3 linked regions of the Medicago truncatula genome follow. The protein of the gene in region 2 binds, or shares a complex with, the protein of the main gene of each other region. Links are inferred from orthologs where the notes say so. Each region holds a gene or a part of one and is shown on either strand. Other genes may lie near its edges. The genes, in order: inner membrane protein PPF-1, chloroplastic; signal recognition particle 43 kDa protein, chloroplastic; signal recognition particle 54 kDa protein, chloroplastic.

Region 1 (7,035 bases), about 5.2 Mb from region 2:
ATTTACTAGGGGGTGTTTATAAGAGTGTATTTAGGCTTATTTATGATATAAACATTTGTGCAAGTGCTTGGAAAAACTTACTAAAATACTTGATGATATGTTCATTTGCATTCAACTTATTTTCATAAGCTTTTATGGATAGGCTATTAGAGAACTTCATTTTGTAATGAAACAACTCAAAAAGAACTGTAGTGCAATTAACTCTCATTTCCTCTTTGATGGTAGAAACAATTTGAAAAAAAAAAAAGGGCAGCTCGGTGCACTAAAGCTCCCACATACACAGGTCCAAGAAGGGGTCTCGCCATTTTGGTGTATCCTACGCAGTCTTCCCCTGTTTTTTACACAAGAGGCTCTTTCTAGAACTTGAACCCGTGACCTTTCAGTCACGTGACAACAACTTTAGCGTTGCATCAAGGCTCTCCCTTGGTAGAAACAATTTGTATATAAATTTTAATACGACAAGTGCTTGTGAATTAATGTTTAATTAAGCAGTCGACCTAAATGCTCATTTAGTCCCTATTGGCACATTCTGTGGTGAACAGACCATACCGGCATACCCCCACCCCCAAAATGCTAAATTCCAAACTACTAAAAGAATCTGCATCACTAAATGTGCTGCATGTTATATACTATTTAATCCAACTGGCACCCATGCTGCATAAACCATGTCTCGTATTTACTGAAATCTAAGACTAACTGGGACAATAGTGCATATGCATAACTTATAAAAAGGGACCTTGCATATATTTTCACAAGCAGAGCCTACACAAATTGCTACATTACTAACTATGAAAAGAATTTTTATCAGCAATTGTATTGTACGACATACAATTTAGAATTTTATTGTTTCAGGAACCATGACTGGGAATAAGCTCCAAAAAAAATTATTGTTAAGAGTAAATAGTGTGATGTCTGAAAATCATAGTGTTTGTGTCACAGACTCACAAGTACAAGGAAAAAGAAATAGCCAAATGCAAAAAAATTATTTCGCTTATGAGCAAAGGATAACTTACCACAAATGGAAAAAGCCAAGAAATTCCAGATCCACTTTGTCTAGCAGCAATGCTAGTGGGACCACCGAGAGAAGGGATCCATAAGAAACCTTCTGTTAACAGTCCCTTCAAATTAAAAGTTTTCAATAATTAGCAAAAATCATGTAGTTGTAATTCGTCTATCAAAATCTAAAATTATAATAGTTTATATACCATTAATTACCTCATTTGCCACATTAGATAAAGCTTGGTATAGACCAATCCAGACGGGAATAGTAGCCAAAGTCGGTAAACAACCTATAAAAAATGATAAAATTTCCTTCTATTAAGTACAGCCCAGTTATGATATTGCAAATATTTTGACATCATATTATCACATGTCAAAGCATTATTATACAGAATCAGAGCTGAGAAGAAAATGATAAAGGCAATAGTAAGATATAAGTGTACCTGCCAATGGGTTAACCCCAGCTTGGGTATATAGCCTTGAAGTCTCAAGTTGTATTCTTTCCTTGAAATGAGGGCAATGAAATAAGTAGTTAGAAACAACCATGCTATCATTTTAAGGTACAAAATCAATATTTACTTAAGATTAAATTGGATGCTTAATAAGTAACAAACAGCAACACCCCTCACCTGATTACCAGCATATCTTTGTTGAATGGCCTTAATTTTAGGTTGAAGGTTTTGCATAGCTAGTGTTGATTCAACCTACATGTATTAAATAAAGTCAGAACTTCATTTCATATAACTGAAAGAAAAATCCATTTATGGTTTTTTTTTTTTCCAACTGGCAATCCATTTATGGTTTGTTTGTAATGTTTCAAACGAGGTTATCATAATTTCATGGTTTCAGTAAATTTGCCTATAGAAATTGTTGTAATTTGTACTAACCTGTTGCTTTGTCAAAGGAAGCGTAGCCGCCTTAACAATAAGAGTGAGCAATATGATAGCAAATCCATACGAATAAGGCACATGCACGGCAGACAAACCATCCTTTAATATCTGAGTAACAACAAGCAAAACATTTCCTGTTATAAAATGCAATCCTCCAATTTTATTACAGGAACGTGGAACATTTGTAGGTAGATTTTTTTTCCTTTTTATGGCTATTTTACATGATAACTCTAAAGCAAAAGGGTAAGGGCCAAGTCCATTGAAACTAGAAAACCATTCGAAACAAATAGCATTACTCTTTCCATTTATACGTATACATTTCCATATAACCTAAAAAAAATACACAAGTTTAACTTGTTCAATCAAATTAACAGAAAAAGTAAACAGTAAGTTAGTAACACTGAACACTTTCCCTGCAACATATCATTTCAGGATAAGAAAAAACGGTTCAATCTTCTAAAAAAACTCAACAACCTCAATAATACAAGTTTCATGAATCAAAGAGCAACAAATCCTTTTATAGTAAGGTCATGTTTGGATTGACTTATTTGAGCTTATTTATTGGTATAATCACTTATGAGACTGTTTGGAAGATCTCATAGAAACAAATTATTACATCTCCCAAACTGTTTTCAACTTATTTTCATAAGTTCGGTTTGATTTTATTTCATATATTTTCTTTGGAATGAATTATAAACAAAAATTAGTTAAATTACGAATATTAAGAAAGATAATTGATAAAATTAAAAAGCAGAAGTTGTGAAGATTACCTTAAGAACAAACTCCATACCATCGGAGATGAAACCAAACCAACCTCCGTTCTTCTGCACAGTAACATCCGTGGAAGTGGAAGTAACCGCATCGGCCGTAACGGCGGCATCAGCAAGCGTATAAAGAAGGCCTTCAGCTCTGGCGAAGACACCGGCAACATCAATAGAATGAGTTAAGGATTGAATTGGAGGAATTTGGTGGAAACTGAAGTGAACTTTGGTGTATAGTCTGGTGCGGTTAGGGGAGAAGTTGCGGTGAAGTGAAGGAAGTGGAGTTCCGATGAATGATGGAGATGAAATCAGTGTCTTCGCCATGGATGATGAGAAGGGTGATAGAGAGAGGCTTGAAGGGCGAAGGCTTCAGCTTCTCGTCACAGAATAGAGAAAAGAGATGAGAGGATATTTTTTTGCTATTATCCGAATGAAATGCATTTTGTTTTGCGAGGTAGAGACAACTGCACGATATGGGTAGTGGAAGATTTTCAGCCAGCGACTGTGTGACACGTCATTACATATTATTACCGGTGGTTATTTGCTTCTTGCAATTTTTAGTCAAAAAAAATGTTATTTGCTCTTGCAATTTTTAGTCAAAAAAAAAAAAAATGGAAGGAAACGGTGTTCAATTAAAGAACGATGACTTCAATTTTAGATAATTTTTTATTTTAAAAATATTCACATACATAGAAAACATTACATTGTAAACTTGTGGCATAACATAAATCAAATTATGGAAAATAATAAAATCTCAACGAAAACAACTCCAGATAGTTTGTCACATTGTATTGAGCTACTCTAAATAAAAATTTAAATGTCAATCGCATAAGTGTTTGACTTATTCGTAACTAAATTAAATTTAAGTATATTGTGATGGCATAATGTTGATAACTCCTTCGCTCCGTCTTCACTCTGCTCTTTATATTATGCGTTGTCCAAATCAACTAAGGTCACGAAGACGTCAATCTTCTCTTTAAGCAACACCATCTCATTACCTACACAAAAAATTAAACAAATACTCATAAGAAAAACATACAAAGTGACTAATTATTTCAAGAATATAATTGAATGAAATAAATATCTTAAATATAAGTGGCAATCATCCTAACAACAATCAACATATTAACAAACAAGTGCGCTAAGATTAACGCAAGACGACAATAAACATGGTATGCAAGACTTGACTCGTGTAATCTAACAACATCTACTCCAACATTTTGATTAATTTTACTAAGTTAATGCAAGCCGAGAAGCCAGCATGTCGAAGAGGATAGTCTATTCACAATACATGTATCAGTAAGATGGTCAAAACGCCCCACGATGCTTGAAAAGTTTCAAATTACTTAATTTTATCTATATAAATTATGACAGTTATTGACTTGTTATGCAAGGAACCTGATGATAATCCTTCAATTTAGTCTGAATATTAGATAGCTAGATCATGAGTGGAAATTCATGTACTATGATCTTGTTCAAATGCATTTTTTTAGTATTAAAGAAACATGAATAAAGATCCAAGCAAAAAGGACAAGAAGATCGAGTTCATGCAATTCGCTAGGCGAGCAGAAAGCACACTCCCGACGATTGTCACTAAGATTGGAGTCTTGAAACGGGGCACCATTCAATGTGATGTATTCCAATTCTCATAGTGAATTCTGACAGATTAGTGACTCATGTGAATGAGCTGCTAAAGATTTCAAGGTAAAAAAATCACAATTCTCTTGCCGAGCATACAATTCGTCTAGCAAAATGTCACTTTCAAAAAACTAAATAAAGAGGAATCAGTCACATTGACATTGTTTGTCATTCTATCACTTTGGAAAAGGAGAGAAACGCAAGGATAATAGAGGAGCAAGTCTACAAGCAAGGCAGAGCATTACAACTTGAAGAATAAAGTGTTGACGCAACATCCTCTCTCGTTTCATCTCTTTGTTGTAAGTTACCATGACAATCTCTAACTAAAGCTCTCGTTGTTTTATGATTAGGTCTAGTTAATTACGATTTTAATGTAAATACTTGATATGACTAGTTAAATATAACTTTTGTTTCATTATATCAACGTTATTATTCTTGCACTTAAGGCTTTTCCTACGTGAAACTTTGAATACGATCTTTTGATTTAGTAAGTGCAAAACATAAACTTTTCTTTTGTCCAAGGACATGGTATAATAGCATTTGTATTGCGAGACATCGATCTAGGTTTACAATCACACACACTATCAAAACATATAGTGCTATTATATTGCGTAATTGAGCGAGACATCCAAAATTAAAGGATGGAATAGATCTCCCATTATTTACAAAATATCGAGATGTATGGTGAGCGATAGATAAAAGTATATCTAAAATACTACAAGTATATAACAATCAATAAAATACATTATACAATTAACTAACAAAACTTAAACCTAACACAACTCTCTCATATTGAAGTTTTCATCACTTGTTATTATGTTATCTATCAGCAAATTTTTACAAACTCTAGTCTTAAAATATTGAAAATAGTTTAACAGTTTGAATTTACCAAATCTCTTGTAGATCAATAATCTATATATAGTTTGGTACTGCAACTTGGCTTTATCAGTCCTCATGAAAAAAAATTCTTTTCAATCAAATGCGGTTTAATTAATTTAAATTTCTTTTTGGATTTCCAAATTATGATTGTGAAAAAAATTCTATTAATATTAATATTACAAAGATACAAAAAGTAAATGTCATACAAAAGTTAACATATAAAAAACTAATATTATGGAACAACAATGATCGATTATATTTGAAATAGTAAAAGAATATTAATCAAACCTATAAGCATTACCAAAAAATTTCCTTAAGGTATATATAGTGTGTTATAGACGAGCCCGTCAACAGTTCCACCAGAGCGATTTGGTTGAAAGTCCATGCATAGGAAGCGTCGATAAAACCATTTATGAGGGGATATAAATATGGACAGATGCTATCCAATTTTTCAAAAAAAAAATGGGGTAACATCTGCCTACCCTGATTTATTTTATTTTGTTTTAATGTGTATGAGTATATGGTTTTTATATTTTGCCACCTAAATAATATATATTCAACTACATTAAATAAATTTATTTGTCAAAAATTGGTAGAAACATGAAAGTTAAAATAATTATTGCTAACATGCCCCGATAACCATGTCATCTCTAGTAATTTAGTACTTCATCCGTTTTAAAATATAAACAAAATTCATTTTTTATGTTCATTTATTTAATGATGTATGTGGTCATATTATGAACCACATATATCATAACCACATACATCATTAAATGAATGAACCTAAAAAATAAATTTTGCTTATATTTTAAAACGGACCGGAGTAAAATCGTGAAGAAAAAGATAACATAAATTTTCTATCAAAAAATAATATAAAATTAATCCTATTGGAGCGTTATATAAAGCGCACGGTTGATAGCCAATGGCGCGGGAAAGCCAATCAAAGAAAAATAAAATATAAAGGCGGTACGAAAACTCAAACCAACTACAACGCGTGTCCTTTCAGAATTTTCTCGAACGTGCTAGACAATGCTAGAGAAATCCCACACCCTCAATTCAAATTTAGATCAAATCGTCACCGTCCAAATTACTCATCCAACGGCTAAAAACACTATACCGAACATTCCAGACATCAATCCTGTTCTATATTAACACAAAGCTTCTCTCCTCAACTCATTCAATTCAGTTTCAAAGAAAACAAAAAACAAAACTTCAATTCATTCTCTAGTACTCAAAACCCTAGTTTTTTCTATTCTCAACTCTACAAAAACCCTAGTTTTCATTCAGAAGGAAATTTCTTGAGAGATTATGGCTGGAAAAGGCGAAGGACCTGCAATTGGAATAGATTTGGGAACAACTTACTCATGTGTTGGTGTTTGGCAACATGATCGTGTTGAAATCATAGCAAATGATCAGGGTAATAGAACTACACCTTCTTATGTTGCTTTCACTGATACAGAACGTTTGATCGGTGATGCTGCTAAGAATCAGGTTGCTATGAACCCTACTAACACTGTTTTCGGTAAGTACTCTTAAAATCAACTTCTTAATCCTTTATTTTCTGAAGTTTTTATTCTGTTTTTAGAACATGCATGAGTTGAAATTTCTAACACTCTATTTCGTTCTTATTGTACTAAAAGTAGAAAAGTGAATTTTATTGTTGATCTTATTATTGTAAAATTGCTGATAACATGATAACATCAGAGCATGGGTTGAAATTTCCAGTAATTTGTTTTTATTTTTTTTTTATTTTTATAATAAATAATTAGTTTCAGAGTGTTTGCATATAAGCTAGAAACGAGAAATTTATTGTTAATAGTTGTAAAATTGTTGATAATAGTTTGTGCATTGATTATATAATTAGTTTG
Region 2 (6,800 bases):
TCCTGAACTCTATAATTTGATCTCGAACCGAGTCTCGAACATTATTCATCTTAGATGAAGAAGTTATATTTAAATTTTGAGATAAATCCAAATTAACTGGTCTACGATAATCATCGCGATCAAGGGTTATGTCTTCATCCTCAAACCGACTGAAATCAACATCCATATCAGCATTCCTTCTAATAAAGTTGTGTCCATTGTTGCAATAACCACTTGAACCTGTGTCTTAATTGTGAATTTAGGCATGCGTCGTAGAATTGCAAATCTATTCCTCCATACACCAAAAGTTCTTTCTATTGTGCACCTTAAACTTGAGTGATAATAATTGAATACCTCATTATTGAAGACGATGAAATATTGAAACTTGAGTGCACCTTAAACATGTTTGCCCAACTGATGTTTGCAAACCGAAACACCAGAAGGAAGAGGCAGTCCAGTTAACATAAAAAAATCCTAGAAAGTCTAGAAAGCAATTACAGAGACAAACAAAACCAACCAGGCCCTTGGCCAAAAAACTACCCCCAACCGTAGCAGGTTAGCAGGCCAGGAACAGCAGCTGAAGCCGCAACCAAACCAGCCGCAAAACCATAAGAAACATGCTTTGAATGTCACAAAAAACATAAGAAATCATGGCATTACAAATATAGCTTATATATAACTAGTTAAAACTGAAATATAGAGTTTAAGGAGGATAAGTGAACAACAAATCCGAAGCAAAAAAACAACATAAGTGAACCAAAAATACGAGCATAATTATCACACAACATAAGCTTTCATTAAGGGATAGAAACATTACATAAGTTATTAGTACTTCATAAGAGTACTTCATAGTTACTAGCACTTCTTAGATTACTTCCTAATTGAAAGGCAAAACATAACAGTACTTCATAGTTACAGGTACTTCCTAGATTACTTCTTAATTTAAAGACAACGGAACATTACAACATTAAAGACTAAACATAACAGTACTTCATAGTTACTAGTACTTCCTAGATTACTTCTTAATTCATAGTACATCCTAGCTTAGATTGCTTCTTAACTCATAGTACTTCCTAGCTTACTTCCTAGTCACATAGGTTCCAAATTACATAGTACTTCCTATATTCAAGAAACCTCTTATCTATGAGGTGAAAAGAGTAACTAAAGTATGCACAAATCAATGACAGCAAAACACTAGTAAAAACTGAACCAAAATATTGGAGAACAAAGTCAAATAACCAAGCATTAATATCATATATGCATATATCAAGCAAACCTGATATGTCTTGATGAAGTTTCCTACATTAGATGGTTTTTTTATTAATTGTATATCATTCTTAAGGTTTACAATCAGTTGTCAACACTTTAAATTATATGTGCAGCGAAATATTTTGCTTCTTGTACACATGCTTTTATCACTGTTGTATATATGTGCAGTTTATTACCTTTGGATTGGAAGTGCTTATTACTTTTATAACAGAAACATCATAACACAAAAATGCACCAAAAACTAAACCATAATAATAGCAAAACTAAAGAAAAACTTAAAATTTATTTTCAAACTCCATCAATATCATTATCATTTTAAAAGCAAAACAAAGAAAAAAACAAAGAAGCAATCATAATTAAGTTTAAGGAAAACAAATAAAACAATATTTATTCATTCATTCATTTTATCTAACACATCAAATGCATTGTTATCATAACTGAATTAATGGATACAGGAGGATAATTCGAACTTACCTTGAGCTATCCAACACTGCTTCTATTTGGAACTTTGCTTAATTTCCTTTTCTTGCGTGCTTGAGAGAATGAAAAGGGCGAGAGATGAGGCAACATATATAAAAAGTTTTTAGGTAGGTTAACCGATTGATTTTGATCTGTAAAATTAAATATGATGAAAGAAATTAGAGTTTAATGAAGTCATGATATGGGTGAAAAAAACAGCTTTGTCTTCAATGTTGTTTGACAGGAGATTAGGATTCAGATAAGCAAGAAGTTATGATATAGGAGAAAAAACAGCTTTGTAAAATTAAGATAAACAACTTTTGAAAATTCAGATAAACATGAGTTATGATGTAAGGTGAGAAGTTAGTTGAGAATCAAGGGTAAAAAAGAGAAATTGGGGGAAAACAAACCTACGGTTGTGAAAATTGATTTTTAGAAGCTAGGAATTGCAGCTTCATTGAAAATCGATTCTGATGATGCAAACTTGCAGCGACGGCGGAAGGTTGAAGGAGAGCCAAACAACGTCAAAGCGCTTTTGAGGAAGACAGACGTGCGTTTCCCCTTTCCCACTAGGTAACCAAACATGTACTCAATAGACTAGAGTTATCGTGGTCAAAAAAGACTCATACTAACTATTCATATTATAATGATTTTCTACCTCCTTTTTTGTTTTCACTACTTCATGTGGGACTTCAATAAGTATCCATTTTAACACAAAAAGTTCCGCCCCATTCCTTTCAAATACACAGCAAAACATAAAAAAAAAACTTTTGTGGAACACAAAAGTTTGTCCGACGTGTGCAAATAAGTAGTTTTGACTCTTGCACTAAGCGCAAGTTTGATTTCACAATTAGATAAATAAGCCTCATAATATATCATTTCACTCGATGGTATGATTTATTGAACTTGGTGAAAACAAACATGTATATGGAAAAAGACTTGTTTTATTTGTGCACCATAAAATTGATCTATCCATTGAATAATTTATAGTTTGATTTTAGGGTTAATGGTGTTTTACCCTCCTGCAAAATATTTTTTTTTATTTACCCCCTGTAATTTTATTTTTTTTGGAATAACCCCTAATAGGTCATAAAAAAAAAAAATCTGCAAAAAAAAAATATTCGTTTTTTTTATGACCTATTAGGGGGTATTCAATTTTTTATTTACAGGGGATAAATAAAAAATAATTTACATGGAGGAAAACCAGAAATGACCTATATTATAGGGGGTAAAACACTTTTAACCCTTGATTTTAATAAGTTTTTGACCCCTTAAAATATACTACTTATCGATTTTAGTCCATAAAAAATTATTTTTTGTTTTTAGTCATTGAAAATATTTAAAAAATTATTTTTGTTCTTACTATTATTTTATATCCCTTCATATTTGTTCATTTTTAATCCCTTACACATTATTGATCAATTTCGACAAAATTACGTTGACTAAAAATAAAAATCATTTTTATAGGAACTAAAAAAGGTCAAATCTAAGGTGCACAAAGATGATAAGCCTTGCACAATGCATAATAATATTCCCATAATTGGATCAAAAGTATCGCCGTTAAATTAAATTTAATATAATAAGATTTATTAATCCAATCGTAGCGACAAGTCTTTTTTTTTTTTTTTTTAACAGAAAAATGAGACTTATTCATGGTGATAGAGTAATTTACTTGTATATGTTAGACAAAACCACTAAAAAATGTTATATTTGTAGTGATTATAAATATATTTAAACCTTCTATCTTTTGGCAATGAATGATAAAATAATAAAAATTAATAAATGAAACGTAAAATTTGAAGAAAAAATGTTACACAAAAACACAATTTTTTTTTGTTACACACAAAAACACTATATATGTTTATACAAGATTAAATAAGTTGCTCAAAAAATAAAAGATTAAATAAGTTTTTTTTTATAATTTCTAATATTGTTTCTATTGTTGTAGATTGTTCCTTCTGTTGTCGTAGAATGTTCCTATTTTAATGAGATTTAATTTAACTAATTTAAACAATATTACAAAAATGATAAAATAGATTAAATGAAAGATAGGAGTAGAAGAAAAAAACTAGCCTAAAAGAATGTATCTCCTTTATATATTGATATAGATTTTTAATTAAAAATTTAAATAATAGGAAATTACGTTTTGGTCTCAAATTTTTCTTTGATTTTTGGTTCCCAAAAGTTTTGCTTCACCGTTTTTGGTCTTTGCTTTTAAATCAAGTCATGTGTATCATTTAAAATTTTATACTTTTTCTGTAATCATGTTTTGTACATTATAGAATCCTCTCTTGCAAAATTTTTTTATTTTTTTTTAACAAGGATGAATTTTTATGTTTTTGACACTTAAAAATTTATATTTAATTTATGTTTTATTATAAAAAATGGAGACATTATAGTAATACTAAAAATATTCTTATTATCCTTGCCAATATAATTACCCGTTGTGACGTGACATAACCTTTTTGTCCACGTGTATAGTTAACTGCCATATCATAGGGTGAAAATCAAGGGGTTTTTTGAAATTTTGCAAAATTGATGGTGTTTTTTTTTTACGAAAGCTCGCAATTTTTTAGGGTAATTGACTATTTACTCAATTTACAATCTATAGTAGATTTCTTGGACTCCACTCATACCAGATTTTGGTGGTATAGGGAAAACATACAATTTGGGCCCAAACTAATAAGTATAAAACAAAAATTGAATTCCTAAATGTAAAATAATTTGCTTGAAGATGATAGTCTTATTACGTTATAAGAATATACTAAATTTTGTATATTTTACTGTAGAAAATAATCAATACTCTCAATTATACGTAATATAAAATTAAAAAAATTAAATTGATCAATATATCACATTTAAGTTTATCAATTTCATACAAATGCAATCATGATTTTATTTGTTTAGTGAGGAAACAAAACTAGTGTCCAAGGTTGTGGCTAGTTTTGTTTTTTAAGTAGTTTAATGGCTAAAATTCATCTTAAAAAAAGATTAACAAGTAAAATAAAATACAGATCCAACATATAAAAATATATGTTCCTACCAACTAAGTGAGCTATGCTCATGCGAGTGGCTAGTGTTTTTATCCTTTGCCAAAAGAGCAAAATGAAGTGCAAAAAACAAAGGACAAAATAAAATCATCCAATCCAATTGAAAGCACGAAGTGGATATGGTTCCTTATCTAGTCAATACCCCAAATCCCCTTCCACATGTTGATTCAATTCAAACACAACAACCATGGAAGCTTTGTTCCTCACGAAACCAATTTCTCACTTCAAACCCAAACACTCTCTATCTCCCAAACACCCATTTGAATTTCACCACCACCACCACCACCACCAATCTCTCACTCTCCGCCACAAACCCACCAAACTTCCCACCGTCACCACCGCAACTCAAAACCACCAACAACAACAAGAACAAGAACAAACAACACCCAAAACCATCGAAGATGAAGAACCCTACGGCGAAGTCAAAAAAATTATCGGAAGCAAAGCCTTGGAAGATTCCACCGGCATGGAATATCTCATCGAATGGGAAGATGGCCATCAACCTTCCTGGGTCCCCGCCGACTTCATAGCAAAAGACGTCGTCGCTGAATACGAAACTCCCTGGTGGACCGCCGCTAGAAAATCCGACGAAAATGCCCTCAAAACAATCCTTGAAGCCGACGATTACCGCGACGTAAATGCAGTAGACTCTGATGGTAGAACAGCACTTCTATTTGTAGCTGGCCTCGGCTCAGAGCCATGCGTTAGGCTCTTAGCCGAAGCTGGCGCCAATTTAGACCACCGCGATAATAGCGGTGGTCTATCCGCGCTGCACATGGCAGCCGGATATGTAAGACCTGGAGTAGCAAAACTACTCTTGGAACTCGGTGCTGATCCGGAAATTAGCGACGATCGTGGAAGAACAGCGTTGGATTTAGCGAGGGAGTTGTTAAAAGCGACGCCAAAGGGGAACCCAATGCAATTCGGAAGAAGAATGGGGTTAGAAGGTGTGGTTAGGGTTTTAGAAGGTGCAGTGTTTGAATATGCTGAAGTAGAGGAGATTATGGAGAAGAGAGGGAAAGGTGAGAATTTGGAGTATTTGGTGAAATGGAAAGATGGAAGTGCTAATGAGTGGATTAAGGGGAGGTTTGTGGCGGAGGATTTGGTGAGGGATTATGAAGCTGGGCTTGAATATGCGGTGGCGGAAGCGGTGGTTGGTCGGAGAGTTGGTGATGATGGGAAGTATGAGTTTTTGGTGAAATGGGTTGATTTGGATGAACCCACTTGGGAGCCCGAGGAGAATGTTGATTCTGAGCTTGTTAAAGTGTTTGATTTGAGTAATAATCAAGCTCAGCCTGGTAATGATAATGGGGTTTCTACGGTTGATTTGAGTCAGAATAGTTCAAATATTGTTAGTGCATGATAATTGTTTTGTTTCATAAATCAAATCCATTACAAATTTTTGCTTGTTACAATTTACATTATGAGTCATTTTTTAGCAATACTCCCAATTAGTAAGAAAGTTTGAAACAGACGCTTAGACTCTATTTGACGGTCCAACGACTAGTTTATAACGGATAATTTGTGTATAAAGTTCATATGATTAAAGTAGAATTATTTGGTGAGTACAAATTTCTATTGCATATGAGTGATTAGAAATACTCCAACTATTAGTAAGTAATGCTTCCAACCAGTAAGAAGCTTTGAAACAAGTCGCGGCAAACACCACTTATGCTGTATTTGACGATCATAGTTACGTCCGAAATCAAAGAAGAAGTTGCTATCTGTCCCGCCTTATTTGCTTACATGTTAATGTACACGTACGAGGCTGGCAAACCAAGAGGTTCTAATTGAGCAGAATAATGTAAATGACACTCTAGATGCTTTATTTATATGCAAGAGACATAGTTTCGAATGCAATGAGTAACGGCAAGGAATACATAGGGCATCCTTTATATGCTTATCTCCAGCCGATTGTCACAAAAACAATGCATCCCACTAAATATCAATTGAGGCTTAGACAAAGGAGTTATGAAGGATATGCATAGCGAGTAACTCAATAGTTAGAGTTTCATTTCTTGAACACTTTTACTAAAAAGAAGC
Region 3 (7,659 bases), on a different chromosome or scaffold from region 2:
TTTGAAATTTGGGGCACTTCATCAAGGTTTTGGGTTTATTATTGGAAGATAATTGATTATTTCTTGCAACTGAAAGGACACATAATAATATTAATAAACAAAGTGATGTCTATTTGACAATTAGTCTTTTGAAGTTGGTACAGTGTAATTTACAACTAGTAAAAATCATTAGTAGTATAGATGCTTTCTTCCATCTCTGCTAATCAGGTCAAATATACCTTTTATTCCTTGTTGATTATGTTGTCAGTTTTGTTTTATTTGAAATTTGGGACCCTTCATCACTGGTGTTGGATTTATTATCATAAAATGATGCATTATTTCTTTGAACTGAAATGACACATTAATAAATAAAGTGATGTTATTTTATACATTTATCAGTATAGCTATCTTTGATACAAATAAACAAAATATCATTTACACACTTGGTTCAAAGCCTCTCTATCTGCTCATCTATTTTTTTGGCAGTATTCTCTCTTATTTACCCACCTATAATACATGTTTGATGAATGCGTCCTGAATTATATCATTGTTTTGACTGTTGGTATATTTTCAATTGTTGTCCACAGCACAAGTGTTTTTGGTGTTTCAACAGAATCTATGCAGCTTTCTTTTGATGCCAGAGGAAATAGTGTACCTACAATACTGCTGTTAATGCAAAGGCATCTGTATGCACAAGGAGGCCTGCAGGTATTTGAACTAATAATACATTCCGGAAACCTTTTGTATGATCTGTTGTTTAGTTTCAATAGACCTGAACCTTGAAATTGAACTATTAAATGCATACACCCAGGCCGAAGGAATCTTCAGAATTAATGCTGAAAATAGTCAAGAGGAGTTTGTGAGGGAACAATTGAACAGAGGAGTGGTACCAAATGGTATTGACGTGCATTGCTTGGCAGGTCTTATAAAGGTATTACTAAAACAAATTCTTTCAAAATCTTTATCCCTCTTTCCTCTTTTAAATGTTAGAGATTTATATGGAACTAGGCTCTTAGGTTGTTGGGATTTGGTCCTATCGTCTATTTGAACGTTGTCTAGATAATTTAAATTGTTAAATATGCTTTTAGCCCTTATATCCAGTTTTCATTCCCCACAAATTACAAAACTGCATACTTTTACGCCCTCTTTAGGGACTAAAAATGTGTGATTTTGTAATTCGTAGAGATTAAATGCTGGCACAAGGACTAAAGTCGAAATTCAAAATAATTATTAATTTATTATATGAATTAAAAATATATTTAACCCTAATTTTAATGTACTAATGTTAATTGTTTTCCTTTTTTAGTTACTGTAGGGAAATATGGTAATTGCATACGAAGTTGTCTAGGTAGCTATATTGAAAGGGATTATTTCATTAATTTTTGATATACTTGAGAAACTCTGTAGGCTTGGTTCAGAGAACTTCCAACTGGTATACTGGACCCTCTTTCGCCAGAGCAGGTGATGCAGTCCCAAACAGAAGAAGAATGTGCTCAGCTTGTGAGGCTTCTTCCTGCAACAGAATCCGCCCTCCTAGATTGGGCAGTAAACCTAATGGCAGACGTTGCTCAGATGGAACATTTGAACAAGATGAACGCACGTAATATTGCAATGGTTTTTGCACCAAACATGACTCACGTAAGCCAAAATCATGTTCCCTTTTATATTCAGTAGAAGGTTTTGCTCTTAGTCCCCTTTTTTTTTGCGATTGAACTTCAAAGACATTTTGTTGTGGTTATATCCTTACTTCTATGTGGTTAGTTTAACTAATCAACTGTCTTCTATTAAATAAATCAAACATTTTTTCTGAGAATTGATTTACATGGCCATATCCTTAAATAGACTTTTGGAGATCTTTTAAAGGGCAGGGGAAGCATACTAATGTAAAATGCAAAGTAGTTTAAGGATTTTAATTTTTGAAATTCCGGTTTTTTAATTTTATTTGAGACTTTGTACTTTAGGCATCTTAGCCAATGTTTGATTATCTTAACCTAGTAGAGAATAATGTTATCTTGTTTTGTCGTTTGGTTATGTTTTATCCATAAAAATACAGCCATCAGTGTGAACATTTGAGTTTGACATACCTTTTCAGCATAATTATAATATTGAGATTTTCTTTTCTTCATAGATCTCAAACCCCAATCAGAGTAGTACTTGTCCCTAGATGTGCAGTCTAGGTTTATTATTCTGCATCTCATGCTCATTGTGGAACAATACACATCCTTTGGATGGTTGAATGTTCCTTTGGAATGGCATGTTCATATCTACAGATTCTTTATGAAGCTACGAAAATTATTATTCTTTTTGTGATTAAATATATGATTATTGTTTTTATTCTGATGAATATTGATAAATTATTCGGATTAGTGCTATGAATTTGGCTGCAGTTTCTGGTATTCTTGAATCTATTCAAGTTTGTTGTGCAAAGTTTTAGTATCAGTCAAAGATCGAGGTTGATTCATGTTTCAATAACAGCATTTCTTTTATGTTTAGCAAAATTATAGTATTGGATTGAGGTTATGATTAATCTTTACGACAATAACATCATTTCTTACACATCTCTTGCAGATGGTAGATCCTTTGACTGCTCTGATGTATGCTGTACAAGTCATGAATTTCCTCAAGACTCTAGTAGCAATGACACTGAAAGAAAGAGAGGAGTCAATCACAAAATCAAATCCCTCTTCAAACCTAAATTCTTTTGATGACGACGGGCATCAGAGCGATTCACCGTTGCTTTTCAAGGATGAAAGTGAATACGGAAATGATTACAGCGACGAGGACACAGTTTTTGTCACCGCCGAGCCTTCACAACAAAGCCCCACACATCTTTTTAAAGATGACTGTGAAACTGAGAGTGGATCCAAAAGTCTGCAAACATCTACCGAAAATTTTATTCCTAGTGGAAATAGGTTGCTGGTTGACAGTTGTCCTTGCGGCGTTGTCTCTCAAATTTGCTCTATGGCAATTGGGGATCAAACAAAAAATTGCAAAAGCCTTCAGTTGAATACTTCTGATACAGACAAGTGTTCAGCAGGATCGGTGGAGAAGAACAGGGGAATTGCTCTTATTGGACGAATAAATTCAAGATCCGAGTTGGCTGAAGCTTGGCGTTGAACATGTAAAGGTGTATGTTTTTTCTATCTTGCTGTCTGGGGGAATGGGATGGATGACAAGAAAAATGGTACTCAAATAATCTTTGCGCATATGCGAGTTGCATGATTGCTGATGTCGTCGTAGTGGAGTCGTTGCATAACGTCCTTCCGAGAAGGGAATGGAATGGATGGGATGACAAGTTGTGTAAAGAGATCTGTGTGCGTTGCCACATTTTGGAAATGTCTAGTACTGATTTGTTGTGTGTTGTTGTGTTATGTTTTCGGGAGAGATTCTTAACCACGTCCTTCATTCTGTTTCATTAACCATGCAGACTTCTAACATTTGTTTTTTGGGTTCCTGTATTATAGAATTTGATGAATTTGGAGAATTGCTACTTTCTGTTACCTTTGTTTCAATGTATTATTGTAAGTAGTGGAAAACTGCTTAGATTAATTTTGAAGTCATGTTTATCCTTGTAGGGCAGCAGTGTTGTCACTCCCTTTAAAAATAGCGATATGAAGTTGGAGAAAACACCATGAGGATGCCAAATCTGGGTAAATTGAAACAAAAATTATACTTAAACTGATACAGACAATTATAATCAAGTAAATACAAAGATGCAACAATTGCATCAGCCACATTTCAAACACCAATATACCCGGAACCAGAATGTCTATATAAACTGCATTATAGTATAAGCAATACTAATATGTATATAGCTGCATCAGCATTCAGCAACACTTAAAATATCAATCTCTCCCAGATGCATATAGTGACGTCCTTTTTGATAATGCTAATATGCAGATTAGCATTAGCAATACTTCAATATCTTCACTACTATTCTTCTGTAAAAAATAAAAAATAAAAACAATAGATTTATATTGATTATATCATATGAACAATTAATGACATGTTATTCTTCAATTTATTTATATACTCCCTTTCAATTTGTGTTTAGTAGTCTGAAATAAAAGAAGTCCGGCAAGCACGACTTAAACTATAAAAATTGGGTCTACATTTGATATGTTGAGTTAGGGCGTAGGTTGTAACCCTCGGTTTTCCAATACTATGTATTTAGTTTTTTAGGTGTTAACCTCCGTTTTTTAGAGAAATTATATGTAATTAGTGTGTGTGAGTTTTACCGCTAAAATCTAGAATCGAAAAATAAATAAGAAAATGCTAACTATGTTTTTAAAACATACATATATTAAGAAATTAAATTTTAAAAATTTATCTTTTTAATATAAATCTTCTTTTTGAATTTCTTTTTTTAACACCTGAATTTGTGTCTTAAGACATACTAAGTCAGCATGAGCTAATCAAATATAATCTTCTCTTTTTTTAATATCATTTTTGTATTCCCATAAACCAATTTTATGTAAAAACAATAAGAAATGACAGTTTGTAAAATAAAAAAATAAAAAAAATTGTTGATATATTTTTTTTGAAGAAATTTTTGTTGATATTAAAAAGTAGTAAATTAGATTAATTAACATGCATCCCTTAATTTACGGCAGTTGATAATAGTCCAGTTTGGCAGTTGTGGATAAAACACAAACACAGATAGCATCAAGTAGTACTGAGTTCAGTTGGTGGAGATGGAAGCAGTACTAGCGTCCCGCCATTTGTCCACGCCACTCTCTCACCACCGAACCACCGCCTCTTCTTCGAGCAAGCTTTGTTCTTCCCTTTCTTATAGGAATTCTTTCGCGGTAAGCATGCCACGTCATCTACTATTCTTCTGATTGGTTACTCTTCCATTCATTGATAGATAAGATACTAATTTGGTTTGGTTTGGTTTCAGAAAGAGATATGGGGTTTTGTTCAGTCGAAAAGCGTAACTATGAGAAGAATGGATATGATTCGTCCAGTTGTGGTCAGAGCTGAAATGTTTGGTCAGTTAACTACTGGTCTTGAATCTGCCTGGAACAAACTCAAAGGAGAAGGTTTTTCCTTCCTTTCTCTTTTTCAATTCAACTATAATTACTTACTTTGCAACTTCCACTCTCACACGGAGACGATACTAATGATCATTAATCAATTTATAAGTAATTGAATTTAATTACATGTATTGGTATTGTTGGACACCCAAATATGTCTTCAATATAATGTGTCGACGATACAATTAGTGGATTTTAATTTCACTTGGTTTGTGCAGAGGTTTTGACCAAAGACAATATTGTGGAGCCTATGCGAGATATTAGGAGAGCTCTTTTAGAAGCTGATGTAAGTCTTCCTGTTGTAAGAAGGTTTGTGCAATCTGTTACTGATCAGGCTGTGGGTGTTGGAGTCACTCGAGGAGTCAAACCCGATCAACAATTGGTTAAGGTCAATTCATTTCAATTGTGTTATGTTTTATGTAATACTCTTAAAATTGCATTTAAATTCAACTGATTTTGTTCTTGTTTTTTTAGGAAAGAGTAAAATTGGATATTCTTAAATTCTACGCTGTGGATGGAGAGTTCCGTTGCTATAGTTTTATGTCTACATATGCACCCATTTCTAGAACATGTGATATACACACACATTTATATGATATAATATATTCAAAACTACTGTAATGGATCACTCCATTTCCTCTTTTGGAAATGGAGAGGTCTCAACTCATTGTGGAAAATGCTGTGTTGTAACAACTAAATACTGTTCACTGTTGTAGAAAGTGGACAAGTCGCCACAAATGACTGTATATTTGTGGTTTTTCTTTATAACATTGTGCAAGTGAGAGAACTTGTTTGCATGAAATAAAATAACATCAACTAGATTTATTTTTTGAATACTGAAGTTCCATACAAGAACAAAATGGGTGTTGATTGTTGGGTTTTGCAGATTGTTCATGATGAACTTGTACAATTGATGGGTGGAGAGGTCTCGGAATTGACTTTTGCCAAAACTGGGCCCACTGTCATTTTATTGGCTGGACTCCAGGGAGTTGGGAAGACAACCGTGTGTGCAAAGTTAGCAAATTATTTCAAGAAACAGGTGTATTTCCAATCTCCTTCATCACCTTCTAATACTTTTTTTGGTTCCTTCTTCGCCTTATTGAAACGTTCATATTCATCTGATCTCAGGGGAAGAGTTGCATGCTAGTTGCCGGGGATGTTTATAGACCTGCTGCTATCGACCAGCTTACTATCTTGGGTAAACAGGTACCAGATTTTTGTTTCATTGAAGTTGTTAACAAGTTTCAATTTCTTTAATGATACATACACCACATTTAAATATAGTCAGTCATGTAATTTTAATTCAATTAAATATAGTTTTTTGTTGCATGAAACCATGAAGAATGTGCATTGTAGTATATTAGAAGTGATGTGTTTCCTGGGCTACTGGAATTATGCTAGCCTTGATAGGTGCTGCTTTAGCATCTTCCACTGATTTTAATGATCTGTCTGGATAAAAATTATGAAGGAAACACGAGAAATTTTGCGAGCATTCTTATTTTTTAACAAATTGGATTCAGGCATCTAACATCAAGATCCAATTAGCATTGTTTGACTCATCTCTTAACCTTTATTCTCTCTATTTGCATCTAGTTAGATGATTATAATTAGTTATAGCTTGTATCAGGTGGACGTCCCTGTATATACAGCAGGTACCGATGTTAAACCATCAGACATTGCTAAACAAGGTTTTGAAGAGGCCAAAAAGAAGAAAATTGATGTGGTTATTGTTGACACTGCTGGTAGGCTGCAGGTAATTCTTTATATGACTGAAAATGTTACAATGAATAATTATTTCATGATTTTTTTAATGTTTGAATAAATTCTTTTATGCTCATCAAGGTTGTTATTTCTTATGAAACAGATAGACAAAGCAATGATGGATGAGTTAAAAGATGTGAAACGGGTACTGAATCCAACAGAAGTCTTGTTAGTTGTGGATGCTATGACAGGGCAAGAAGCAGCAGGTATTCAAAAGTGACGTTTAAAGTATCAACTCTTACATTAAAAAGAAAATATTTTTCTATAAAAATAAATTATTTATATTTATGAACTGATTCTAAATTAATGGCTGGCATATTATTAAACATATATTATTATATTTTACTACCAAATTGGTGTAATCCGAGGGGAAGCAACTTAAGTATGTGGTCAAGGGTTCAATCCCTGACTTATGCGTACAGAAATTCACCTTTTGGGAGAGGCAACTCTTGAATGCGCTCCAGATCCTCGAATGAGTTGGTCTTTACATTTGCTCGCAAGTGATACCTTTAGAAACCAAAAAACCATATTTTAGTTAGGTTTTTGTATAATTATGCTCCTGATGTTGGTTATTATACTCTGACAGCCAAAACCATCCCAAAATCGACTTCACTGTTTTGTTTTTGATTGAACAGCTTTGGTGACTACTTTCAATCTTGAGATTGGAATAACTGGTGCCATCTTGACAAAGCTAGATGGTGATTCAAGAGGTGGAGCAGCTTTGAGTGTCAAAGAGGTTTGCTTGTTTTATCTTAGCTTTCATGAGATGTTTTTATTTTGTATTTTACTTTCAGACAATGCTACCTTACATTGGTTCTCGTCTTAACCAATAGTTACCCGCTATACCAGAATTTTCAACATTACGAGCTCTTGAAAGTTAGTC

What was found.
Region 1: the proteins of signal recognition particle 43 kDa protein, chloroplastic (region 2) and inner membrane protein PPF-1, chloroplastic are in contact, whole or in part, in a crystal structure (PDB 5E4W), measured with the Arabidopsis thaliana proteins. The link is inferred for Medicago truncatula from reciprocal best matches to the Arabidopsis thaliana genes CAO and ALB3. Residues at the interface, in NP_566101.1 of Arabidopsis thaliana: Asp273, Glu274, Asp312, Tyr313, Gly316, Leu317, Glu318, Tyr319, Ala320, Val321, Ala322, Trp343, Asp345, Met346, Thr350, Glu352, Asn356, Asp358; in NP_180446.1 of Arabidopsis thaliana: Lys454, Arg455, Ser456, Lys457, Arg458, Lys459, Arg460, Thr461.
Region 3: the proteins of signal recognition particle 43 kDa protein, chloroplastic (region 2) and signal recognition particle 54 kDa protein, chloroplastic are in contact, whole or in part, in an NMR structure (PDB 2HUG), measured with the Arabidopsis thaliana proteins. The link is inferred for Medicago truncatula from reciprocal best matches to the Arabidopsis thaliana genes CAO and CPSRP54. Residues at the interface, in NP_566101.1 of Arabidopsis thaliana: Glu268, Tyr269, Ala270, Glu271, Val272, Lys283, Val289, Trp291, Glu298, Trp299, Val300, Lys301, His304, Val305, Ala306, Val309; in NP_196014.1 of Arabidopsis thaliana: Pro532, Gly533, Thr534, Ala535, Arg536, Arg537, Arg539, Lys540, Ala541, Asp542, Ser543.

Annotation. Positions count from the first base shown.
Region 1 is NC_053045.1:31,730,504-31,737,538, forward strand, and holds the start of inner membrane protein PPF-1, chloroplastic, read right to left. Parts: upstream 3,102-7,035; 5' UTR 2,975-3,101; coding exon 2,660-2,974; intron 1,998-2,659; coding exon 1,887-1,997; intron 1,704-1,886; coding exon 1,629-1,703; intron 1,504-1,628; coding exon 1,443-1,503; intron 1,290-1,442; coding exon 1,216-1,289; intron 1,119-1,215; coding exon 1,014-1,118; intron 1-1,013. Other genes in the region: heat shock cognate 70 kDa protein 2, read left to right, coding at 6,476-6,689. UniProt on the Arabidopsis thaliana protein: Required for the insertion of some light harvesting chlorophyll-binding proteins (LHCP) into the chloroplast thylakoid membrane.
Region 2 is NC_053045.1:36,927,199-36,933,998, forward strand, and holds signal recognition particle 43 kDa protein, chloroplastic, read left to right. Parts: upstream 1-4,783; 5' UTR 4,784-4,944; coding exon 4,945-6,120; 3' UTR 6,121-6,229; downstream 6,230-6,800.
Region 3 is NC_053048.1:49,543,275-49,550,933, reverse strand, and holds the start of signal recognition particle 54 kDa protein, chloroplastic, read left to right. Parts: upstream 1-4,614; 5' UTR 4,615-4,673; coding exon 4,674-4,787; intron 4,788-4,879; coding exon 4,880-5,021; intron 5,022-5,233; coding exon 5,234-5,403; intron 5,404-5,901; coding exon 5,902-6,054; intron 6,055-6,143; coding exon 6,144-6,221; intron 6,222-6,642; coding exon 6,643-6,768; intron 6,769-6,879; coding exon 6,880-6,982; intron 6,983-7,411; coding exon 7,412-7,512; intron 7,513-7,659. Other genes in the region: rho GTPase-activating protein 5, read left to right, coding at 567-687, 791-910, 1,387-1,617, 2,548-3,096.